Sus scrofa: one gene and its partner. The protein of the gene in region 1 purifies or fractionates together with the protein of each later gene. This does not show direct contact. Links are inferred from orthologs where the notes say so. Each region holds a gene or a part of one and is shown on either strand. Other genes may lie near its edges.

Region 1 (3,821 bases):
GTTTGAGTCCAATCTTCTAGAATATTTCCTATGTCCTTTAAGGGATTTCTAGTTTTGTTGAAGAGAAAAAAATTATGTAACTATAGGAAATTGTGAAAACAAGAGAATATATTTATTGTAAACATGTGCATTGTATAACACCAGTGATAGATGAAATAGTTCAGAGAAGGAAAAAGATCCTGTGGCCAGATTTCACAGGAAGTAATGTGTAAACTTTTCAAGTTTTTATTTATTTTTATTTGTTTATTTATTTATTTGTCTTTTTGCCTTTTCTAGGGCCGATTCCCACGGCGTATGGAGGTTCCCAGGCTAGGGGTCTAATAGGAGCTGTAGCCACCGGCCTACACAGGATCTTACACCACAGCTCACAGCACGACCAGGGATTGAACCCGCAACTTCATGGTTTCTAGCCAGATTCGTTAACCACTGCACCACGACAGGAACTCCCTCAAGTTTTTAAATACAAGAAAGATTTTGATGAATGAAAAGTAGTAAGAAAGGTTTGTAAGTGATGGGAAGCAGCATGTGCAGACACATAAAGGCAGAAATGTGCATGTTAAGTGGATGCTTTTTATGCAAATTAAAAATCTTGACTAAAAATGGACAAAACATTAAGAACAAATATTATATCTTTTAACTGAGAGGATCCAAGGTTTGGAGTGAGCTTAAGGCCCAAAATTTGAGTCCTCTACTTCTCAACAGGTTTCCTTGTCTCCATCATAGCAGGGTGGCTTTGTTAGTCTTAGGCATTACATTCAGGTGTAAAATTGTACAGATGAAGAAGAGTATATCTTCCTGTGTCTTCCTGAATCTATTTCTTACAAGGCAGAATTGTTTTCCCTTTGTATCTCCTTGGCTTTGGTCATATTGTCAAGGGAAATGGGATTGCCATGAGTGGTTCAGACTAATGCTGATCAACAAATACAATGAGCTACGTATATAATTTTAATTTTTTTAGTGGTCATTTGAAATAAAAGCTTTTTAAAGGTGGAATTAATTTTAATAATGTATTTTAGGAGTTCCCACTATACCACAGTGGGTTAAGGATCCGGCATTGCCACAGCTGTGGCCTCAGTTGCAGCTGTGGCTCAGATTTGCCTGGCCTTAGAACTTCCATATGCCACGGGTGCAGACATACTAAATGATATTATTTATGTTGTGTGACAGCTGTAACAATAGAGGTGATATATAGGTTATAGGGAAAGCCTTTGAGGGTGAATAAGATTGCACAGGTAAAACACAGAAAACAAAAAAGGCCTTGGACAAAAGATTGGGAAACACCAATGCTTAAAGGTGTTCGAAATTGAACCTGCGTCCTCATGGATGCTAGTCAGATTCTTTTCCACTGAGCCACGACAGGAACTCCTAGCAATTAAGATTTTTGCCAAAAACCTAGAATTACAGCCTTATAAAAGCTTGATAAAATGGCTAATTTTATTTTATTATTTTTAAAATTTTTATTGGAGTATAGTTGATTTACAATGTTATATTAGTTTCATGTACAGCAAAGTGAATCAGTTGTGTGTATGTATGTATATATGTGTATATATATCCATTCTTTTTAAAATGGCTCATTTTAAAACAACAGGGTCTCACTGTATAGCTTAGGAAACTATATCCAGTCTCCCAGGATACACCATGATGGAAAAGAATATAAAAAAAGACTATATATGTATAAATAACAGTCACTTTACTATACATCAGAAATTGACACAACATTATATATAGATCAACTGTAGTTTTTTTTTTTTTTTTTTTTTTTTTTTTTTTTGTCTTTTTGCCATTTCTTGGGCCTCTCCTGCAGCATATGGAGGTTCCCAGGCTAGGGGTCTAATTGGAGCTGTAGCTGCCAGCCTACGCCAGAGCCACAGCAACTTGGGATCCAAGCCGAGTCTGCAACCTACACCACAGCTCACGGCAACACCAGATCCTCAACCCACTGCGCAAGGGCAGGGACCGAACCTGCAACCTCATGGTTCCTAGTCGGACTCATTAACCACTGCGCCATGACGGGAACTCCTCAACTGTAGTTTTAAAAAAATGACTAATTTCAAAGTTTAATTATCTCAAATTTGTTAATACTGAAGTAACAACTCATAAGAAGGCAAGAAGTTGTTTCTGTTCATATTGTCAGTCTTTTGAGGATAAATCCTCATTCATCCTCATTTAGTAAGTGTTCAGTCCAGGTCGAATTTTTCATAGGAGATAACCATTGTCTATCCTTAAGCAGAGGAATGAAGTAATATAGTATTTTAAAATAAATTCATTTGGCGATGGTATATAAAGGATACTGTATTTATTGGAGAAATAGGAGGTATTAGAAGCCAGCTGACTAGCAGTAGGAAATCCTATGAGCTTCTACCAAGTTTTTGCCTGTGAGAATGAAGAGGTGACAATTTCTCTGTGTAATTTGAAATAATGGTGACAGAACACAGTGGTTTGGAGTCAGATAAAGAAGTCTGAGCTAGAGACAGGATATCAGCACACAAATGTTGAGACAGAGCCGTTTTAAAGAGAGAAGGAAAGAGACTTAATAATTTACGACTATTGAAAATGAAAATGTAGGAGTCAGAGAAATAAAGATAATGAGTCAGCAGGACTTTCGTCATATTTTCAGGTGGATTTATTGATTATTTTTCTTCCTACAGCAAAGTGCAAGATCTGTGAGTGGGCATTTGAGAGTGAGCCACTGTTTCTCCAGCATATGAAGGATACTCATAAGCCTGGAGAGATGCCTTACGTTTGCCAGGTATTGCTTCTTTCTCCAGGGAGCTTTAGCTATTTTGCTCTCAGGCTGAACACAAAGAGTCCACTAATGAACAGTGTAATACCTGTTACACACACTCAGTTTTAGGAACACAGAAGAGATACTGAAGAAACAGTAAACTTGAGTTGTATTTTCAGGATTTTTCCATGCAGGAGAAAACACAAAGAAATGTATCCTTGTACCAGCTGAGAAACCCACCTGGGAGCGTCCATATGTGCTGGGGGGGTGTCTGTCTCCTGAACATGCCTTTTGGAGATGGACAGGAAAAACTATTCCTCTCAGTCAGAATATGAACTATTCTCAACCTTTCCTGTCCTTCCCCATTTTTATCTTGGTTCACAGCTGAATGTATCACAGACATAGCCCTGCATCAAAAAGTCAGAAAAATAATTTGATTTCTATACATTAAGGAAATTTTTTTTTCATATTTTAACATTTTTGTTGCTACCTCTTTTCAAAGACCTCAGTTGTTCACTTCACTCTTAGCTCATTTTCCCTCTTATGTCACTCAGGTGTGTCAGTATCGCTCCTCACTCTACTCTGAGGTCGATGTCCATTTTCGGATGATCCACGAGGATACTCGGCACCTGCTCTGCCCTTATTGCCTGAAGGTCTTCAAAAATGGCAATGCATTCCAACAGCATTACATGAGGCACCAGGTACCAGACACCAAGCAATTCCCATGTTCTCATTTTTAAGTTTATGGAAGCCGGGCCAGGACTGAGCTAATAAATAAGCAAATAATTTTGGTAGAGAAGATAATATAAATGTGTTTGGAAAAATTTATTGAATGCCAATGATAAGTGCTGGGCACTGGGCTAGATGCTAGAGATTTAGTGGTAAACAAGACAACAATACAGTAAAACACGAAGAATGTTGTGTTAGGGGAAATACAGGCTACAGAAAGGAATATACCTATTAGGGGAGCCTACTAAGGCTTCCAGGAAAAAAGGTGTTGAAGACCTGAAGGATGAGTAAGGATAAGCCAGGCGAAGTGGGATAGAAGAACGGCATGCTTAAAGACACAGGGAGGTTCAAAGAATTGAAAGAAGTT
Region 2 (3,343 bases), on another chromosome or scaffold:
ATTTTTGTAAGTTCCTAGATGCACCACTTCTCCGAGTCAATATCTATAAAGCTCTTGGACCGGCACTTGGCACCCAGGAAGCGCTCGTGAAGCACAGCTATGATTATAATTCAAGTCCTCTTTGTGAGGGTCCTGGATGAAATGGCAGAGAGCACGAGCTGTCTTCCACAAACTGTTTTCCGCTTTCTGGGCACTTGGCTAGACCGCCTTTCCCAGACTCCCTTGCTGCGAGCTGTGGCCATGTGACTCATCTCTCCACAAAGGAAGCTAAGTGGAAGCAGCACCTCTTGCAGGCTGGGGCTTCTAAGAGAACACATGTACCTCTCCAGGCTCCCTCTCCCCTTCCACCAGCAGAAGCCAGGCCACGGACACAGCCATGACCGTGTGAAAGACGAAAAGCTGACAAGATGGCCTGGGCCCCCAAACCACCCTGTGGAGGTTATCTGCCCACCCGAAACACCCGCCAAATTCTGTTGTGTCTGGGCCTATATACATCATGGGGTCTATGATTAAATACACGGAAACCACACTGAACATACATACTTAGTAAATATTAATTATCTTGGCAACAACCATCCTAGGGTTTCCCGAAGGAGCCAGGGATGGTGGGTTAATGCCCAGGCACGTGCCTCACATACCAGTGCTCGCACACGTGCGCACACACACACACACACACACACACACACCAAACGCACACTGGGCCAACACACACAGAATTCGGCTTTTATTCTGGCCTTCACACATCTACTGCTAAGACAACACAGATCGGCGGCACCCCGTCCCCAGGACTACTGGGACCACCCAATGTCCTCCACCCCTCCTCCCACCCCCACCCCACCCCCCTGCAAGCTCCCTGGGGGGGGCTCTGCCTACACCTCACCCCGGGCATGCAGCATGAAGTGCCCATGCAGCTCCCCCAGGTTGTCGAAGGAATCCTCGCACTCCGTACAGTGGTAGGTGCCCTCCTCCTCCTCCTCTTCCTCCTCCTCCTCCCTCCCGGTTGGCCGGCCCTCCCCAGCCCGAGGTGGCTCCTCCGCTTCCTCCCCGAGAGCCCTGCTGTCAGGGGCTGGCGCTTCCTGGGGGGCTGTAGCGGGGCCGCAGAGCCGGCAAGGTGGGGTGCCTGGCGGGGCCTCCCCAAGGGGTGAACGGCCACAGAGCTGGCAGGGCTGGGCTGGGGGGCCCGGGAGCTGGGCTGCGCGGGGGGCCCGGCGGGATGGGCCCCCCCGGCCCCCCCCCAGGCGCTGCTTCACCTTGTAGCCAGGGTCATATTCAGGATCATCAGTGGTCTCCTCTTCCTCCTCCTCCTCCTCCTCATCCTCTTCGGAGTCCGGCTCAGAGAGAGTGTATTCGGAGTCAGAGGAATGCTCGGGGCCTATGGGAGATGGATGAGGAAGGTCATGGCATCAGAGGACGGAGGGCTACGCCTGGCTGTCCCCTCTCTGTCCCCGGTGCAGACTGGCCACAGTAGGGGGAGGAGAACCTGGGCACGCCCCGCTCTTCCCTATGCACAGAGCCCGGCACCCAGCAGGCGCTCAGCACCTATGTGTCAAGCAAATGAACTTCATCTTAGGCGTGTGAAAAGAGCAAAGTTGGAGAAGTGGGAATCATAAAAACGACAGTGTCCGCTGCTATTTCAAGAACAGTTTTGTCTTGTTTTGCCTTTTTTTTTTTTTTCTGTCTTTTTGCCTTTCCTAGGGCTACTCCCAAGGCATGTGGATGCTCCCAGACTAGGGGTCTAATCAGAGCTGTAGCCACCAGCCTATGCCACAGCCACAGCAACGCGGGATCTGAGCCCCATCTGCAACCTACACCACAGCTCACGGCAATGCTGGATCCTTAACCCACTGCGCAAGGCCAGGGATTGAACCCGAAACCTCATGGTTCCTAGTCAGATTCGTTAACCACTGAGCCACGATGAGAACTCCTGTCTTATTTTGCTTTTTAGGGCCGCACCCCAGGCAAGGGGTCGAACTGGAGCTGAAGCTGCCAGTCTACACCACAGCCACAGCCACACCAGACCCGAGCCACATCTGCGACCTACACCGCTGCTTGAGGCAAAGCCAGGATCCTTTAACCCACTGAGCAAGGTCAGGGATCGAATCCACATCCTCATAGGTACCAGTCGGTCTGTTATTGCTGAGCCGCAACAGGAACTCCAAGGACCTAGTTTTATGTATTAACTAATCCTTAGGACAGCCCTGAAGGAAGTACCATTGCGATCCCTAAGTGACGAATGGGGAAACTGAGGCACAAAGAAGTCAGGCACCTCACTGGCCTCCTGTCACAAAGCTCTAACAAGGAAAGCCACACATGGTGATGGCCTACACTGGAGCATTTCAGGAAGCCAAACACTTGAACAGGTATCGAAGCAAATTATAACACATACATATACACATAAATATCTGGGAGTTCCCTGTTGGCTTAGCAGGTGAAGGAGTTGGTATTGTTACTGCTGTGACTCAGGTTACTATGGTGGTGCAGGTTCGATCCCCAGCAAGGGAACTTCTGTGTGCTGTGGGTGTGGCCGAAAGAAAAAATCCAGTTGAGTTAATTTACTTATAAGTATAGATATACTGCTGTGATTTCATGGCTATGAAGGACATGCCCAGGATAAGCTTAGGTTAAAAAAAAAAAGGAAAAAATTTAGAGCTGGTGTGCAGGAAATGGTGGCACCAGCAGCTCTTATGGGGGATGCGGGCTCGGGCCTGGTCATGGCCAGGGAGTCCCCCACTTCAGCGGCAGCAGCAGGGTGGGAAATACTGGCTTCTTCAGGTGCAGTGGCAGGAGCCTGCCAAAAGCATCTCTCAGGACAGCGACAGCCTAGCCCTGGATATCCAGCCCCCCTTCCTCAGTTCATTCTGGCAGTGCACGGGGACCCTGTCATGACTGAGCCAGGCGCACTGGCTCCTCATATCTCTCAACAGCCCAGACTGGCACCCCCCTCGGGGCCTTTGCCACCCTTTCTGCAGATAACTAAGGCTTGATCCCTCCCCTCTGCCACGACTCTGCTCAAGTGTCACCTCAGTGAAACGCTGGTCAGACTGTCTACCCAGGAATCCCTCCCCAGCACTCGCTACACCCCAGCTCAGCTTTATTTTTCTCCTCAATTTACCGTATGCAACACCTACGTGTGTGTTTACTGCCTGTCCCCCAAAGCAGGGACTTCGTCTGGTTCGTGGCTGTGTCCCTGGCATCTGAAACAGTCTCTGTGCCTGGCATTCAATCTGACAAACCTCTGCTGAGGCTTTCACACATGGGCTCCCTCTGCTGGGGTCTCCAGGGCATCATTTAGTACGTAGCAGGAGGGCTTTCCCCCCGAGAGAGCAAGAGCGCATCCCAGGTC

What was found.
Region 2: the proteins of POGZ (region 1) and ZNF428 purify together in Homo sapiens (affinity purification with mass spectrometry; 3 studies listed by BioGRID and IntAct, counting the BioPlex papers as one, with this or other methods). This does not show direct contact. The link is inferred for Sus scrofa from reciprocal best matches to the Homo sapiens genes POGZ and ZNF428.

The regions. Positions count from the first base shown.
Region 1 is NC_010446.5:97,821,421-97,825,241, forward strand, and holds part of POGZ (pogo transposable element with ZNF domain), read left to right. Parts: intron 1-2,648; coding exon 2,649-2,749; intron 2,750-3,279; coding exon 3,280-3,426; intron 3,427-3,821. UniProt on the Homo sapiens protein: Plays a role in mitotic cell cycle progression and is involved in kinetochore assembly and mitotic sister chromatid cohesion.
Region 2 is NC_010448.4:50,450,433-50,453,775, forward strand, and holds the end of ZNF428 (zinc finger protein 428), read right to left. Parts: intron 1,373-3,343; coding exon 870-1,372; 3' UTR 708-869; downstream 1-707.